Linked DNA regions of Mus musculus. The protein of the gene in region 2 interacts with the protein of the main gene of each other region in a pairwise test. Links are inferred from orthologs where the notes say so. Each region holds a gene or a part of one and is shown on either strand. Other genes may lie near its edges.

Region 1 (3,508 bases), on a different chromosome or scaffold from region 2:
CTGAACTTGCCCTTGCGTACAGGCCATGCTGTGGCTGGAGCCTTGTTGCTCTTGCTTCGGTTCTTTCTCTTGACTTTCCCACTTGTCCTGTTCCTAGCCCTAGAACCAGTCCTTCCCGGGTGGCAGCCTCCACCCCTGCCTCCTGGGCAAGGCAAACTTGATGTCAGGGTCCTATTCCTAGAGATGTTAGGAAGCCTTATGCCTCTGCCTGCCTTTGCACGTGCCTGTTCCTTTAGAGTCTTGAAAAGGGCCTTGGCCTTAGCCTCTAGTCCACCCCCACTCTGGGATTCTGGGTGCACTTCTTTCTTTACACCTGGACCATTCTCAGGTCCCACATTCACCTCAACCTTGGACTTTGAGTCATCTTGAGGTTTGCCTCTCGCCCCTACCCCAACATTAGTCTTAAGTTCTTTCTCAGTTTTGTCACTACAAGACTTTTCCTCCTCTTCCTCCTCTTCCTCCTCTTCCTCATCCCACAACTTCTCATTCTCATCTTTTCCCCAGGTCAGTCTGTATACACAGTAGCAGGCACCAGCCCCAATGACCATGCCTGCAGCCACACATCCAGCTTCCCGGGTGCGACCCATCGTACAGCTGGGGTGAATCTCTTAAGCTGGACACAGAGCTGACTTGTTCTCAGGTCAGAGGTAAAGTCTTCAGATTCTGCAGGTTAGGAGCAGCTACAACAGCAGATACAGTGATACCTAGAAGAAAAAAACGGAAGATTACAAAATTTTGACTTCTCCAATTGTGCTTTTGTTCATAAATAGACTTAATCACTTGCCTACAAATATACAAAGATATTAGCTAACATTTGGGGCTTGGTCTCCTCATCATTATTCCTGTCCTTTATCTGGAAGCAATTTTGGATGTTTTCCAAACAGCCAGATTCTCTAAATTTATGTTCTTCCACCCATCCCAAGAATGTCCATTGAATATATTTATATTATGTTCAATTTATTATACACACACACACACACACACACACACACACACACACAATGATCTTTACCCTTGCAGCAGATGTCTTGAGTCAGGGTCACAGAGACACCCTCACATATACCCTCAGAGATCCAAGAAGTTTCTTCCTCCTTTCCAGCCTCTTGCAGATCTACAAACAAAAGGATACAGAGGTCTGAGCTGAGAACTCAAGAACCAGATAAATCACCCTCAAGGCAGGACATATATCCATCTCAATTCCCAGGCACTTGTCCTTCACTACAGTGTTTCTTACCTTCTATATACCTTCCTCCTTGGATGATCAGTCCCCTCTCTCATCTTGTCTTCCTGCCCCCCACTACCCTGTCTGTCACTTCATCCAAAGGTGACACTACACACCCTTCCTTGTAAAGAAATAGACATCAGTACCTAGAAATCAGACTTTTAAGTGCATCTTCACTGACTTCTGCCCACCGGACTACCTTAAAGACAGCCTCAACGATCTATTGAATAATTACATCAATTTCCACTGCTCTGAGAAATTTCTTTCCTCCCTCCCACCTCCTTGTCTAAGCCCCTGACTTCTCCATACCTAAAGACAACAAATCGGGTTCCTATTAGACTAAAAGCAACAAAGACTGCACCATACAGTATTTCAAAATAATGTCCTCCCCACCGCCAACACAGTACCAGGAGAAGGGGTGCAGAGAAAGTCTGTGAGTCTGTCCACTCGAGTTCATAGTCACCATTATCGTCTACCCCAGCGACCTCCAAACAGTGTCATCACACTTCTTCCTTGGACCTACTTGATTCTGGGAAGTTTTCCTCCCTTCCCTGCTTCTTGGTTTAGTCTGGAGCGAGAGCCACAGATACAGGCACCTAAGCAGAGACAGAACACAAAATATATACCACCTAAATACTAGCTTTCCCAAATCCGGGGACCTGATTGGTCAGATGGATTTCATGGTTTTGTTTCTCACCCTGCCCCCAGTTCTCTGGACTCAGCTGACAACGCCCCGATGCTATACAGCTACATCCCGACACTCCTTCTTGCGGTGGTCGGCCATTTTTTCCTGCAAAAACCACACCCCTTTGGAAGCGCAGCACTGGGGGCGGGCCCAGCGAGTACGGGGAAAACTCGAGCTACGGAAGAAGACCACATATCTCTTCCGTCCTCCCCAACCCAGCCCAACCCCCGATGATAGCCCCCCCCCCTTTTTTTTTCCTGTACAACTCTGAGAACAGTCCTTTTTCCTGGGGGTGGGAGCAGGGAACGACGCACACGTCGACTGCCAAAGTCAATAATGGCCCCGAGTTATAATAAATCCCCCAGCTACCACTTATATGCAGGTCGCAGACAGTCTCAGCTTTAAATTGACATGCAGAAATTCGATGTTGATTATTTCTTTGTTCCAAAAGGTGCTGCACCCTAATGAATGACAGAGGATATCTCACTACCTCAAAATTCTGTCTTCATAGGATCCATGCACCAACCCATAATACTTGTCCCTCCGGATTCTAGGCCCTTACATGCCAAAGGCTCCCCGCCCCAAACCCTCATCCGGGGTCTCTCCTGGAATCTCTCCCTCCAAGATTCACCGCCTCCCACCCCCAAGAGGATCGGAAGGCATTGCAAGTGCATGAAGAGAGCAGACTGTGTCGCCCGTATCTTGGCTAACAGCTACCCAGAGTAAAGCGATCCCCCAAGCATCATCCATGCATAGACTTGCTGGCATCCAGGCCGTTACCTTCTCCTCTTCCTTCCGCAGCAGGCCTGCCTGCTCTCAACAATAACAGAGAGAGCAAACACTAAGGTAGACCAGAATTAGGAGGAGGTCTGCACACGTAGGCTTCGGCTCACGTGAGGGGCACGTCACCAGTGAGATCAGGATTCCAACTGCCACTCCCATCAACACTGCAGCAGGAGGCAGCCTTTCCCCTGCCTTCCCCGCCACACCAGGTCCTGCCATTCTTTTTCCTCTTTGTTAATCCCCAAACCGCAAGGAGCTTCTTTTGTGGTTGGAATTTGCCTTTCTATGGTTAACAACAGAGATACCACATTGGTCCTTTCTTCCTCTTTTAGGAACAATTCTGGCGGTTCTTTATTCCCACCCCAGCTGCTTTTCTCTTCTCCCCTTTCCCTTTCAACTGGGAAGAGCCTGCATCTTCCCTGCGCTCTGATACCAAACAGGATTTCAAAAAAGGAAAAAAAAAATCAGCCTTGCTTTTACATTGAGAATATAAAATTATGTTTTTCATTTGTGTGGAGAAAAATTTAAGTGGCAAAGGAAAACCCAGTGGACCTTAGTAATTGCAGTTACACACACACACACACACACACAAATTTCTACTGATTACAGACAAATAATTGCTATCATAACGCACTAACTTGTTTGAAAATAGAAAGTTGGAGTTTTTGCATGTTTTATGAATGAACACTCTAAAAAAGGATGACCAGTTGTCTGATTTGAACCATTTTATTCAAACTGCAAATTTTTTTTTCTACTTTTGGTTTAACTTGCAAATTTGGTAAAATAAAAGCAACACAATTAATCCTAACTTATTTAAT
Region 2 (10,948 bases):
TTTTATGCTTCTCTTTCTAGAGAAGTGCCAGGTGAGCTTTGTCTTCCTCTCCCACCCCTGGCAGATGGTGCATGTGCGCCCGGAACTGAAGTGCCCCTCTTCCCTTCCAGGTCCCCAGAAGTCACTGCTGGGTCTATGACCCTCTGTTCAGTCAGACTGAGGTTTCCGTTCTCACCTCCCTCGGCGTGACTGTCCTCAGTGAGAATGAGGTAGGTGCTTTCATCTCTTCCAGACCACTCACCTCTGCTAGCAGACAGGCTTCCTGTGACTCGGTGCCCCACTGGCCCTGCCATGCTGGCCTTCTTAGAGCCCAGTAGTCACTCCCATTTTGGACTGTTATATACTGTGGAAACTTGAATCAGCAGCATGAATTAATGTGTTAGGCTTACAAAACTCTCGAGAGCCTGGAGAGATGGCTCAGCTGTTAAAAGCACTGACTACTCTTTCAGTGGAAGGTTCCCATGTGGAGGCTCACAGTCTGCTCTAACTCTAGTTCCAGAAGACCTGATGCCCTCTTCTGGCCCCTGCAGGCATCAGGCATGCATATGGAAAACTCATAAAAAAATAAAAACAGAAACACGCCGGTCGCGGTGGTGCATGCCTTTAATCCCAGCACTTGGGAGGCAGAAGCAGGCGAATTCTGAGTTCAAGGCCAGCCTGGTCTACAGAGTGAGTGCCAGGGCTGCAGAGAAACCGTCTCAAAAAACCAAAAAAAAAAAAAAAAAAAAAAAAAAAAAAACCAAAAAAAAACAAAGAAAACAAAAAACAAAACAAAAAAAACAAAAAACCAGAAATGGGTATTTGTGTGTCCTTTCTGGGTTTTGTCTGAGTTCTGGGAATCACTGAGGTTGGACTGGCCTGGTTAGGTGGCAAATACATTCACCCCTCCCCCCACCCCTCCCCCCACTTTTAGGGTCTCTGTAGCCCAGGATGGTCTCAGCCTCATGATCCTGCTGCTTTGAGCAATAGTGAGACCCTATAGCACTCGCTTTTGTGTGCTGGCTCTATGCAGAGAAGAGCAGATAGGTGAGGCCTGAGGGCACCTTTAATTTATAGAGACCAAGTACAGTAGCAGGGTTGGCCTATGCACTGAGAGCCATCAGAAGGTGGTGTCCAGTACCACAGGCAGATCCTGTGGAGGCAGCCATAGGACACCAACATGGGCTTGTGCCTGACAGAAGCTGCAGGGAGAGGCACACACAGTGGAGGTGTGGCCAGACAGCCATTAGGTGTCTATGTCCCCACTGTGGTAAGGATCTGTAGTGAAGCAGGGTATCTGGAAGACCCAGAATGTAGGACATGGGGACAGTCATCTCACGAAATACCTTTGGTCAGCATGGGTTCCTTGTGTCCCTTACAGACGTCCAGCGTGCTTACACTTACTAATATAGCTGTGCCACAGAAGAGCTGGGCTTTGCACTCTGCTCCTTAGCACCCATTCTGCTGGTTCCACAGGAAGGCAAGCGCAGTGTCCAGGGCCAGCCCACTGTCTTCTACATGCCACACTGTGGGACAGCTCTATACAACAACCTGCTGTGGAGCAACTGGTCTGCAGACGCCCTGTCCAGGGTGCTCATCATCGGGAACAGCTTCCGAGGCCTTGAGGAAAGGTGAGCCAGCAGGAATGCCAGGCCTAGCTTCCCTGTGAGGACCTGTGTAAATGGTTTAGGGGTCTAGCTTAAAGCACCTAAGGAGTCTTCCAAGGGCAGAAGTGTTTGGGCAGCCATGCTTTAAGTGCAGACACTCCTGATCTGCTTCACAGCATGCCTGTGCTGCCCTCTTGCATATCCCTCAACCTTTCTGAACTAGTTTTTACCTGTTGAAAAAGAAAGCAAACACCCATATACTTCCTAATTGTGTATGTATGTTTTTATTTGTAGGTTGTTGGCGAGGATTCTGCAGGAAAATTACCCCTACATTGCAAAGGTGTCTGACAGAATAGCTGGGCCGGGGTGAGGGTGCAAAGCCACACTGTCCATGTTTCTAAGCACAACCAGCTGGTGCCTCTCCTACTGTGTGCCAGTGGCCTTCATCCTTAGGGCGAGCCCAGCAGTCTCACTGGCATGGGACTGAAAAGTGCTGAAATACAACCCCCCCATCCCTTATTTCTCAGAAGGACGGTGGGGTGGCCAGGTGAAGATAGAGAGGGGTGTACCTAATGCCCGTATCTGGTCCTCTCTGCTCAGATTCTGAAAGGCCTGGAGGAGGTCCCACTGCCGCAGACTCCCCAGTACACTGACACCTTTAATGATACATCTGTCCACTGGTTCCCACTATTGAAGCTGGAAGGACTGCCTGGGGACCTGTGGGCATCCCAGGAAGAGCCTGACTACCAGGACTGTGAGGACCTGGAGATCATCAGGAAAGCTACAGATCGCTCAGCTGGAGTAACAGGACAGTTCTCTCCACCTGGGCCAGGAGCCACGGTGCACACCACACCAGATCCTTTGCCCGGCCAGGAATACAGGCCGACTGGGGACACTGAGTCACATCCTGCCCTGGTGGCCTGGTCTCCCAAATAGAGACGTTATTCATCAGCTTGGTTTACAGTGCTGTTTATTCACACCGGTCTGGTGTGGCCGATGTCTACTTGGCCATGTCGATGAGGCTCTGCAGGGAGGTGGGCACCCACGTCTTCTCGCCCTGCACAAACACCACACCCCGGTCAATGTAGATGACGATGCGGCCGAAGGTGTAGAGCTGCTTGCCCTCGTGCCGCTTGCCGATGACAGGCATGAACACAATGTTGTGCTCCTCTGCCTTAGTCTCGATGAGGTCCTTAAAGTTCATGGGCACGGAGCTGGCGGCCACACCGATGCCTCTCTGTGCCATGTTCTCAGCCTCCCGGCGCTCCTGCATGGCCTCGTACTGGAAGTCCTTCCTGCGCTCTGTGTGGGTGAGGTAGGCAATGTTCTCTCTCGCACCCGGCTGCATGTAGGCACCTGAGAGAAGGGAGGACAGAGATGAGATGTGACCCCGGGTATGCAGAACCCCAGGATGACATGCTGTGTGTGACCTGCTGCTGAAGGGCCCAGGTACCACTAACATGATCAGTGCATGCTTGGGGAGAGTCACTACCACAAAACTGGTCTGGGAGCTGAGTAGCTAATATCAGGTATCAGAAGTGATTCTCTCACTACTAAGAGATGTGGACAAGGGCTGAGCCCACACATGTGGCCCCCTAAAGTCACCATTTATGAGGTCACCTTGTAGTCTAGCATGGCCTACATTCATTCTACTATCCCTTGCTTCAGAGGCCCCTCTGTAGAACAGAAAATGGGGCTCATTGGTTAGGAATATGTATGTTTTCAGAGAATCCAGTTTGATTCCCAGCTCCCCCTTCACATGGCCCATAACTCTCTAACTCCAGGCCCATGATACCCTCTTATGGCTGTCCACCAGGCACATACATAAACATATAATTTAAACTTTACATGGAAAATGCATTTGGGGAGCTAGAGTATGGTGATTAGTGGATCACAGGGTGACCCAAATGCAAACTACTGTGGTGGTTTGAATATGCTTGGCCCAGAAGTGTGTCACTGTGGGTGTGGGCTGCCTGAGAGTCAGTCTTCTGTTTGCCTTCATAACAAGATGCAGAACTCTCAGCTCCTCCCTTGCCATACCTGCTTGGATGCTGCCATGCTCCCACCTTGATAAAGGACTGAACCTGCAAACCTTTACAAGAGTTGCCTTGGTCCTGGTGTCAGTCACAGCAATGACAGCCTAACTTAGATATCTACTCACCAACATTGGAGGACACAGCCCTGTTCATTATGTCGAGCGCTTCGTTGAACTTGTCCTTGACAGAAGGGTGGGCCAGCACCTGGTCTGAGAACATAGACTTCCAGCCCAGGTACCACTTGGTGATCTCCTCGTAATTGGGACTGTTACTGAGCCAGGAGCACAGCACCTGCCAAAGGACACAGGACTCTGAGCTGATGATGTACACACTGGACCACGGCAGGGAGGGCAGAGTTCCCGGGGCTACTGTTGTGTTCAGTGTTGCTCCTCCCAGCATCCCACACTACAGGGCACATGAAGCTGCGGCTTCTAGCAGTTACCAGGAGAATCTGGAGCCAGCCTGTGGCCTAAATGTGCTAAAGCCTTGATCTCCACATCCCCAACAGGTTCTCTGAGGAGCTGAGCTGAGGCAATTCTGTGACTGGACAGCAGAGGGCACTGGGGACCCTCCTGGACCACACTGCTCACCTGGAGCCACTTGGGGAAGAAATGCTTCTCCAGCAGCCCCACCAGGCTGGAGACGGAGATCATCCCCTCCCAGTCCATCACCCAGTAGAAGGCGTCCATGTGCTGCTGGTGGGGGTTGATGACAAGCTCTCCCAGGCACATGCCTGCAAGAGAGACAGCAAGGCACACTCTTCAGTCTCCACCCACAGTGAATCCCATGAGTCACAAGCACTTAAGAGGCCAGGGCTGGACAGATGGCTCAGTGGTTAACAGCACTGACTGCTCTTCCAGAGGTCCTGAGTTCAATTCCCAGCAACCACACGGTGGCTCACAACCATCTGCAGTGGGATCTGATGCCCTCTTCTGGTGTGTCTGAAGACAGCAACAGTGTTCTCACATACATTAAATAATTCCTTAAAAAATAGGGGGCCAGAGGCTTTCTGGTTCTGACATTCAAACCAGCCCTGTCAGACAAAGCACAGAGAGTCCAGAGTCATGACTGCAGACCCTGGTCAAGCTATGAAGGAACAGCAGGAAGGGCCTGCTTCCAGTCCCGTCCACCTCTGCCCTAAGGAGTATACCTCATAGTGGACACTGAGGCTGCACTCGGCCCGCAAGTCCCCATGTCCTTACCCAGCTTGGGCACGATGTTCCTGAGCATGAAGGCCTCCCAGGACCCAGGGGTGAGGACCTCTTTCCAGGGCTGCAGGATGAGCTTGGCTGAGGCGTCGCTGGGGTGCCATTTCTGCAGTGCGCTGGACAACTTGCTGCGCACAGGGGAGTAGAGTGGCTCCAGGCGGGCCTGCATGAGCGGCAGCCACGGGTGGATCCACGAGTGGATGGGAACGGTGTCTGTCAGGGGGTTCCAGTTGTCCACCTGCAGGATGAGTGGGATGACCATGATACAGCAGTGCTGTCCTTAGGGAGAGGCCTTTGTATCCTGACCAAGGGTCACAGTCCTCAGTGTGTGTGTGTGGAGGGGGAACCCCACTGAGGAGGTAAATAGGTATTCTGTACTCTAGGTCCCTCCACAGAAGGAAATTAAACACTCATGCCACCAACTCAAGCCTCAGCACAGCTCAAGGTTCAATAAAGGCCTTGAGAAAGGCCATGCCCACCCGAGAGAGGTAGGAAGGGGGTACTATGGAGAAGGCTAGAACTACTACTGCAGGCCACCCAGCCATGCTGGCAGTCCTTCAACCTCTGGGCTCTTGTGCACAGATAAGAGACACTGTCAAAGCAATGCCATACCTCCTTCTGCAGCTTAGGGAAGATGAGCTGGTCCAGGATATTGTCCAGGATCCACACGGGGATGATGTGTGCCCAGCTGTCCAGGAAATCCACCATCGGCTCACAGTTCCGTGGCTGCCACTGGGCGACGACATTCCGAACGAAAGGCATCCAGACCTCCCACATGAGCCTGTTAGAGGCATGGCAGCCTCTGGTCAGCCACACTGCTGCCTTCACGGTGCTCAAAGTGTGCCAGCCCACACACCCCCACAGGAAACCTCAGGCCAGTGCCCACAGAGGCTGCCATGATGTCTTGGCTCTCGGCCTTGGGCACCTCAGTGGACCCAGCACTGGCAGGACTGCTACAGGCCCACGTGCTGACAGTGACAGCACAGGGCAGCAGCTGCTCTCCCACCAGGAGCCTCAGTTCACAGTTCTCACACCCGAGGTCACAGCTGGAATGTCCTCTCTACATCTGGGTCATTCTTAGTTCTCACTAGTTCTTGGCACTGCCTTTTCCAGACTGGGTGAAAGCTGCTCATGGTCAGGGTCAGCCCAGCTCCTGGACACTCGGGACACTCGTGCACACATGGGTGAGCCCAGTTCCTGGATGCTCGGGACACTCGTGCACACATGGGTGAGCCCAGTTCCTGGATGCTCAGGACACTCGTGCACACACGGGTGAGCACATCTCCACACCCAGAGCAGATCCGGGGTGGAGCTGAGTCAACAGGGCCAGAATGGCTTACCCCCCAGCCTTTAGCACAACTCCTGCTCCTTGGGGGCTGAGGGGATGAGGGAATACAGTGGGGTAGGGCCTGGCACCTGTGGAAGGCATCGGAGGACAGGTCCTGGCTGCTGTGAGACAGCAGCTGGTCGTTCTCCAGGAGGCTCTTCCACTTGGAGATGATCTGGGTGCCATAGCTGCCGTCCTGCAGAACACCAGCATCATCAATCAGCCTGCCCACCTCAGTAGCCATGCCCCAGCCCAAAAGCAGGCTGCACCCTAGCTCACCTCGAGGGGGTGCCAATCCTTAAAGTAGTCCTTCACGAGCGGGTAGACAATGGCCACAGCGAGGTCTGCGCGGTCCGCCAGGCGGTACTCCTCATAATACTTGTCCTGTAGTGTCTCAAAGATGCGGGCACACTCATCCAGAGTGAGGGGGTCGGCGCCATGGGGCTGCATGCGGCGCTCACATTCCTCCACCAGGGCCAGCACCTTGCTGAGGTTAGAGATGACACGCTCCTCATGTGCAAGAACCTCGGCCGTCTTCTCCAGCTCGTGTGACAGGCTGACCACCATGTCCCGCTCATACTGGAGCTGCCGGTCGCTCTGGATGATCTCCTGCTCCGTGCGCTCAATGAGCAGCTGCAGGTTGTGCTCCAGCTCAGGCAGTGCAAAGCCCGGCATCCTGGCTTCCTTGCCGGCTGTGGGGGGCAGCTGCGCCAGCAATGGCACCCCTTCATCGGGCACGCTGTGCTTGTGGCTGATTTGGCTGTAGCTGTAGTACACCTTCTGCTCCCGGCCTGTCATGTCGATCACCTTGGAGAGAGTCAGGTTACCACCTGTTAGCACCACTGAGCAGGGGAGATGTGACAGAGCTCTGTGGATGGACAGAGCTGCCTACCACAGGCTTGAGCTGTCAGACCCACACCATCTTACACTAACCGGTCGGTGACACGCAGCTGCCACCACTGCTGTCTAGCTACTCGGAAAGTGATAACAACACCATGAGTCCATCACAGAGAGGGTGGCCTTCCCCAAGATCCTAGCTACCCCACTTCATGCACAGCTATGACATGCCTTACACCCGTGGGCCAGTCAGAACTGTACATCAGAAGTCCTTAAAGGAGAGAGAGGTCTTGCTCCTGGCCCATCGGCAGGCCTTCCCTTCCTGCTTACGGCACTCCCAGAAACCCTCTCCTTGATCTCAACAGAGAAAAATTTACCTACAAGTGAATCTATGCCAAACTCACCGCAAAGCAAAGGAAGCTTCAGGCTGCGCAGAGGCTCGGGGTTGGGAGCTATACTTACCACAGTCAGCACGGGGAGGTGTCAGGCGTAAAAACCAGGGCCTGGCATGTGCCGTGCTCAGCACTCACTCAGAGTACTTACCTTAGAAGTGTTACTGAGTTCACTGGACATAAAGCACATCCACACCCGGTCACACAGACATACAGACACACCCACATACACTCACATAGACACATACAGATACACACCCACACATGCTTACACAGACACATACACAGAAACACCCACACATGCTCACACATACACACACCCACACCCACACACGCTCACAGACACATACGGACATACATGCTCATACAGACACACATAGAAACACACCCACACCTGCTCGCATACACAGACACACACACACATAGTCACCCCCCCCCATACACACACCCCAATAACCTACTTATCAGACAAAGCCCTCAGAGGATGGACAGGGGGACGGACAGATGTGAGGCCCTCATACCTTGACCTGAGACAGTTCCTTCTGAGGTGCTGTGAGCTTCTTGCTGACCCTGCCCTTGGCCTTCAGCTCCTCCACAGTCTTGTAAGAGTACTTTGGCTTCTTCTTGCTCCCGCTGGGGTCTTTCCTCCATTGGCTCAGCTCCTTCTGAAACTCCTGAGGCAGAGGGATGCAGTCAATGACAACAGGAGGGGCCTGATGCACAGCAGCCAAGGCCAAGGCCTTTAGCATGCCTGCAGCCACCAAATACCACTCGCCTACATCCGTGTATAGTAGCTGGATGCCAAAGGCAGGCCCAAGAGAAGGGAGAGGCTCTCACAGAACTTAGATATAGCATAGAAAATTAGAAAACACTGGCCCCACTCAGCAGAGCTCCACAAGAATGGTGAGCAGAGGGTAGCATGTAAGGACACGCCCGTCCGCCCTACAGGTCAAGTCCGACCTGGCTGCCATTTTATTCTCACACTGACTTAACCAGTCATTTCTTTTCTTTCAAGTATGTGGAGTTGCAGCTGTTCAGGAATCATGGCGCGTGCTCTCCCGGGCCATCTCTGAGCTGAGAGAGCCTACCCTGCAGTCACAGCACATGTACCTGAGTGTCTCAGTCCTCACCCTGTCTTACTGTCCCACAGCTGCCCACCTCACAGCCCTAGGTCCAAGACACCGTGATGGCATCAGGTGAGAGGTGAGTTCCAGCAGGGCCTGCCGCATAAGTGGGTGTGAGGACACGCAGAGGCCACACAGCACGTAGCAGCTGTGTGAAATGGTCCAGGCCCTGCGCTGCCCACACAGAGGTCATCTTTACCTCTTCTGCCTCCTCTTCCGAGTCGGCCACGGGGAAGTCCTGCAGAGACTGAGTGGTCCTCTCCGAGCCATAGGCCCCCACGGCTCCCTTGCCTTTTCTCTGTTTGGCTTCGATGGGGTTGATGATCCCTGAGTGAGGGCAGGAGAAAGACAAGAGACTTTTCAGATCCTGGCCACCAGTGTGAGGACACCAGGAAAAGAGCACTTCCTGCTTCATACCAACAGGAGTGCCTTCCCTGTGCTCGGGACACAGCCACACTCCCTGGGACTCAACAACTGAGACCACCTCTGAGGATTCTGCCCTCCTGTGCTGACCAACATAGGCATCAGAAGCCTGTGTGGCAAGCACAGTAACTCAGGAGGCTGAGCGGCTGAAGGACAGCTGTGGGCTGGGAAGGGGCTCACACTGCTCACAGCTAACTTATATAATATGGCTAAGCCCTGGCAATCAACAGGAACAGCATTACTCCCCCGTCCAGGATTTCCTTCCACCTTCTCACTCAGCACTGTTGAAACCCCAGGGATGCTCTGCCACGCTCTGCCCAGCATCTCAGGGATGCTCTGCCACGTTCTTCCCAGAAAAATCCTCAGCACTACCTGAGCCGCATGTGGGTGGCCTGGGATGTGAATTACAGAGGACACTTCTGATTGGACCCGTCAGGCTCAAAGAGGCTAAGTGCTTGCTCCTTGTGGCTCTGAGCCAAGGTGGTGAGCTGTGTGTGCAAGGGCTGTTTCTCAGTGAGGCTGGTTGGGGGAGCAACGTGGGTTTGGGTCAGCCAGCAGCACAGGCATGTCTTCAGTCGGTGAAGGCCGCTGTGCACTGGCCTGCCTGATGCTGAGTTGCAGACTAAGAAGAAGCAGGGACTACGCAGCTGGCCTAACAGCCCAGGCAGGCTCACACACTGACCACAGCAGGGCAGGTGGCAGGTCCAGGAGGCTGAGGACACTGTGTTTAGAAGAACACACTCTGCCAAAAGGCATCTGTGAAGCAGCCAAACTAAATCTAGAGTTCTGGGTGAGACTGTCTGATTCAAAAATATTAGCAGTTACTTCTCTAGAGACACAGGCCAGGTTAAAGCAGCTCTGCGTCTGCAGCCACTTTAGACCCTAGCAGTTTCCGTCTCACTTAACCAAGTAGTTACTGAATCTGGGTTCTGAGAAAGCCAAGCAGCTGGAGCACAAGTGGCCCATGCAGCCACACCCAGCTGCAGAGTAACAGCTGCTTTGGTTGGGTTTTGAGCTTATGAATCCTTCCCAGGACCTGTCACCCATACTTGCCGAGCTTCCTCCCGGAGCCTCCCCTCCACCACACTCACCCTGTGCGTTCTTCCCCAGGCCACGCCCAGGGACGTAGCCCATCTTCTGCAGCAGCTTCTGCCCGATCCCTTTCGTGTGTCTCTCCCAGCTGCCAAAGTCCATGAAGGACTTGGTTCCTCCTGAAAAGCCTTTCTGGCTGGGCTTAAAATTGCCACCCTGCAAAGAAGGCGAGATGAGTTTGGGTGAGAGAGAAAAATGGAGCAACCCAGGGAGCTCAAGCCTACAGCTACACTGTATCATGAAAGGCAGCATCTGGACCACAGCCATCAGTGACTCGGAGGAGGGAAGGAACTGCAGATGCTCACCAGCTTCTCCCTGTGGAAGAAGCCACTGCACTGTGACCTCCATGGGGTGCCACCAGGAGACTGTCCTGTGAGGCCTACCGTCTTTAACTTCTTTGGTCCTAAATCCTTCGGGAAGTCCTCCTGCTTAACAGGCTTCTCTTCAGCATCAGAGTCCTCGGAGTCCGCTTCCTCAGCCGCCCCTTTCTTGAGCCCCGCACTGATGAAGTTGACAGGTGCAGAATAGTCTCGGGCCCTACAGACACACACAGAGCCTCCAAGTCCATAAAGAACGCTTCTGCAACACCCTGTCCTGGAAGCTGCTCGAAAGAGAATTCCTTAGAGAGAGAGGCCCTCAATAATCTTACATTTAACATTTAAAAAATATTATATGGGGGGGGGGCCTAACCACATGACACTGTGGGTGCCCGATGAGCCAAAGGCTCGATTCCCTGAAGATGGAATTAGAGGCACTTGTGAGCTGCCTGAGGTGGGCACTGGCTGGGAGCCACACTCAGGTCTGCAATAGCAATTGAGTTCAATCTCAATTGCTCCTGGGTCCTCTTCCAGCCCACATTTTACACTCGTGGGGTCTGTTCGATTCAAACTATAACTGAAGATTTGCCACTGTCAGTAGGGTTG
Region 3 (3,600 bases), on a different chromosome or scaffold from region 2:
CTCCAGCTTCCTCACCTCTCAGCTCAGACAACACTTTCAAGGCCCCTCCATGATATCTTCCAGTTATAGCAGCGAATGCGCCGCCGTGGCTGTTGCCCTGCACAGCATCCCTGCATCTACCTCTCTGAGTGATGGTTTCTGTGGTCTGTGCCTGTTTCCACTTAAAGCACTTGCTATCTGTAGGAGTTAGGCGCAGGACAGAAGGATGGATACATCCTGGATCTGTGTGCATCTCTCTCTGTGTGTACATGTTTATATGCACAGGTGTATGTATGTGGAGGTCAGAGGACAATCTTACATGCCATTCCTTAAGTGCTACCTTTGTGTGTGTGTGTGTGTGTGTGTGTGTGTGTGTGTGTGTGTGTGTATGGCAGGGTCTCTCATTGTCTTGGAACTCACCAAGTTGGCCAGGCTGGCTGACCAGCAAGTCCCAGGAATCTGCTTGTTTTCCCAATGCTGGGAGTACAAGCACACACAGTCATTCTACAGCTTTGCTTTGTAACCTGGGGACTGAAGTCAGGTTCTCATGTTTCAAGGCAAACACCGTATTAAGAAGTAGATTAGAAGTCTACTTCTAGAAGATTTTAGACATATCCCTTTCAGCGGCTATTCCTGGAGAGAGGTCCCTAACCACTGGTCACTAATGGCTGTGCCTAAGTACTATGGGTAATCCCCAAGTCAATTCAAAAGCGTCAACCATGAGAGAAGTGCTTAATTTGAATTTTGTGTTGTATCGAGAAGCCTGAAGGACCGTCCTGTTGATGAGAAGGGCAATGTAAGCACCACACAGCTTCATGGGCTATGAAGTCTGAATTAAGCTGCATTGATGCCTGTAATTCAAACAGAACTCAAGACAAGAGGCCTGTGGTTAAGACAAAGGTCTTTGCTCTAAAGGCCTTTGCAATCATTTCGAGATTTAAACAAAACCCAAGGGGAGGCTTTTCCTGATGAGATAAGAACCCCGGGGCTGGGCAAATGGTGTGTGCCGATGCTTGAGGTCCTCAGTCAGGAGCGAAGTCTCCCACTTTTATTCCATTGGCTTTATAGAAAGGGGAACCCCACCTACCATGGATGACACAGGAACAGATTGTGATATGACTGTAATAAACTTAAATTGGGGGCAATAGAACATTTTATTATCACAGAGGTGCATTATAAAATGCTTGGTGATAGTGAGGAGATAATTAAATAAGACACTAAAAAATCCAGGTATCAGAACCGTGTATGGTGGCACAGTTCTTTAACCCCAGTGCTGAGGCAGTGGAGGCAGGAGGATGGTGAGGTCCAGACTAGCCTGGGATACACAGATCTTGTATCAAAGAGCAGTTCATCCATCCATCCATCCATCCATCCATCCATCCATCCATCCCCTATCACACAACTATTTATCAATCAGTATACATATCATTAATATCTGTAATCTGTATCCACCCTGAACCCTTTTGTTATTTATACCCATAGTAGGTTAATATATTTGTTATAACATTCATATAATGAAAGATGAAAAATCTCTTTAAATCAACTTGAGTCTTCAAAGTTAGTAAAGACTACTGGCAAACTCACATATAGAAACCATTGGAGGTCTTTGAAAAATAAGATTATCCACAATGAAGACCTTATATTGTAAGCCATAACAAAGATTTGAACTGCAATTTTGGATGATAAAATGATCATATTTTATATATAATTAGTTGAAGTTTTAGAAAAAATGTGAGTTAGACTCATCCTGTTTACAGATACCACATGATAAAATACATTTTTTTTTCAATTATACATTTCAACCTAATCTGCTTCATGTGTTCGAATTCACCTAGCATACATCTCTCAATCCATTAGGCAACTAAACAGTGAGGTAGAAATTACAGGCTTCATGGCTCACCTGATTTTGCAGCTCTTTAATCTGTGCGTAGTAGGAGCTATAGTCTCGGATGGTGCTCGGCGCGTTGGTTTCGTACCACTGCTTGATCTGGGCTTCAAGTCTGGAATTGGATTGCTCCAGGGAGCGCACTTTTTCTAGGTAGTTTGCCAATCTGTCGTTCAGGTTCTGCATTGCCAGTTTCCCATTGCCCCCAAACAGGTCCGATCCGTTGGAGAGATCACCCCCGTAGCTCATTACGGCTTTGGAGACAGAGATGCGAGTGCCATGGCCTCCAGCCCCACCATAGACGCTGGGTGCAGCCCCCAGACGCTGCACAGTCCCCTTCCTATACAGCGAGCCACTCATGCTGAGTGCTGGGCCTTGTGAGGAGGAACTCAGACTTCGGTGAAAACTTTGACGACTGAAATCCATCTGGGATGTAGGGAGGCAACGCCTGTAGCCTGGACTTGGAGCACAGCCTGTCTGTCTCGGGCTGCTGTGGAGATGACCTTTTATAGAGTTCAAGAGACTCCTCCTCTGCTGCCGTGTCACCTCAGGAATGACACAGTCCACCTTCCTGTCTCCCCTTCCCCCTCTTTTGTACGGCAATACGTTTCATTCCATTCCAGAAATTTCTACCAGAGGCACTTTTTAAAGGCTTTCCTGTGGGGGTGGTGGGAGTGGAGGTTTCTTTTTAATAAACAGAGATAACAAAAAGGACGAGGAAGGGGTGTCCTTTCAGGTCTTGCACCTGCCCTGGCAGGTTTTTTTTTTTTCATCCTGTATACAAATAAAGAATATTTACAATCTATATGAATAATTCAGGCATCGAACAAGACAGCTGTGGGAACATAATATAAGTCACACTGGTGAGAAAAGACAATGGCTTGTTCAAATGATTTTCTTTTAAAAAATGTTTTATGCTTCTTTAAATTTTTTTTTTACTTTTAAGTTTATCCTTGTTTAGAATTTATATTTACAGTCTATTGAAATGTCTTGAGTGAAGCTGGGTGTGTGGGTGTGCACCTGAGATTCTAGCACCCGGGAGTCAGAGGTGGGGGGGATCAGGACTAGTTTGAGGCCAGCCTGGTTGAAGTAAGGTGTTCCAGTCTAGCCCAGTGTTGTGTAACAAGACACTGTCTCAAAGTGCAGCTCCCCCCACCCCCGTTTAAGAATTGAATACGGTCAGTAGGTGAATATGTAAATGATTATCGGTGGGCGGTGGGTCAGTTGATTTTGGAGTTTTTTAAAAAAAGATATTTTAAATAGCATTTTTGGATAATTTCATCCATGCACATGTAGCGTATCTTGATAAACTCCTCTCCCACTCGCCTCTCCAGCTGCCTCCGAAGCGCCTAACACAACCCCACCCAAACTTCATACCTCTTTTTATCTTTTTCTTTTTAAAAATAACCAACTGGATCTAATTAGTGCTGCCTGTATGCTTGTGGGTGTGCGGCCTTGGACTGGGTGTGTGAGCAGCCTGTCAGAGGTCATAGATCCTCTGCCTGGCTCCCAGCAGCCTGCAACTGCCAGGAACATCTAGGTTAGCAAGGGGACCTTATTTAAAAAAAAAAACAAAAACAAAAACAAACTTGTTATAAGAATCTTGCAAATATTTTTAAATCTAGTGCTTCTTAAAAAAGAAACAGCAACATTAAATTACTGCGAAACTCCTGCTTTTAATAACTGGCATATTGCATATATTGCATACTGCTTCCTCTGTCTGAGGCCAGCTAGAC

The links. The genes of interacting proteins can lie anywhere in the genome.
Region 1: the proteins of Tfip11 (region 2) and Armcx1 interact in binary tests that used the Homo sapiens proteins (3 or more experiments, as listed by UniProt). The two-hybrid records come from large-scale screens. The link is inferred for Mus musculus from reciprocal best matches to the Homo sapiens genes TFIP11 and ARMCX1.
Region 3: the proteins of Tfip11 (region 2) and Krt20 interact in binary tests that used the Homo sapiens proteins (3 or more experiments, as listed by UniProt). The two-hybrid records come from large-scale screens. The link is inferred for Mus musculus from reciprocal best matches to the Homo sapiens genes TFIP11 and KRT20.

Annotation. Positions count from the first base shown.
Region 1 is NC_000086.7:134,717,230-134,720,737, reverse strand, and holds the start of Armcx1 (armadillo repeat-containing X-linked protein 1), read right to left. Parts: upstream 2,801-3,508; 5' UTR 2,688-2,800; intron 2,369-2,687; 5' UTR 2,277-2,368; intron 2,013-2,276; 5' UTR 1,920-2,012; intron 1,819-1,919; 5' UTR 1,630-1,818; exon of another isoform or gene 1,235-1,629; intron 1,112-1,234; 5' UTR 1,013-1,111; intron 705-1,012; 5' UTR 588-704; coding exon 1-587. UniProt on the Homo sapiens protein: Regulates mitochondrial transport during axon regeneration. Increases the proportion of motile mitochondria by recruiting stationary mitochondria into the motile pool. Enhances mitochondria movement and neurite growth in both adult axons and embryonic neurons.
Region 2 is NC_000071.6:112,328,980-112,339,927, reverse strand, and holds the end of Tfip11 (tuftelin-interacting protein 11), read right to left. Parts: intron 10,563-10,948; coding exon 10,409-10,562; intron 10,182-10,408; coding exon 10,025-10,181; intron 8,838-10,024; coding exon 8,710-8,837; intron 8,061-8,709; coding exon 7,908-8,060; intron 6,965-7,907; coding exon 6,437-6,964; intron 6,354-6,436; coding exon 6,247-6,353; intron 5,612-6,246; coding exon 5,443-5,611; intron 5,069-5,442; coding exon 4,825-5,068; intron 4,356-4,824; coding exon 4,213-4,355; intron 3,914-4,212; coding exon 3,748-3,913; intron 2,943-3,747; coding exon 2,587-2,942; 3' UTR 2,523-2,586; coding exon of another isoform or gene 2,187-2,522; 3' UTR 1,953-2,186; coding exon of another isoform or gene 1,881-1,952; 3' UTR 1,855-1,880; downstream 1-1,854. Other genes in the region: Srrd (SRR1-like protein), read left to right, coding at 1-31, 111-209, 1,456-1,610, 1,881-1,926, 2,187-2,522. UniProt on the Homo sapiens protein: Involved in pre-mRNA splicing, specifically in spliceosome disassembly during late-stage splicing events. Intron turnover seems to proceed through reactions in two lariat-intron associated complexes termed Intron Large (IL) and Intron Small (IS).
Region 3 is NC_000077.6:99,435,808-99,439,407, forward strand, and holds the start of Krt20 (keratin, type I cytoskeletal 20), read right to left. Parts: upstream 2,347-3,600; 5' UTR 2,291-2,346; coding exon 1,880-2,290; intron 1-1,879. UniProt on the Homo sapiens protein: Plays a significant role in maintaining keratin filament organization in intestinal epithelia. When phosphorylated, plays a role in the secretion of mucin in the small intestine.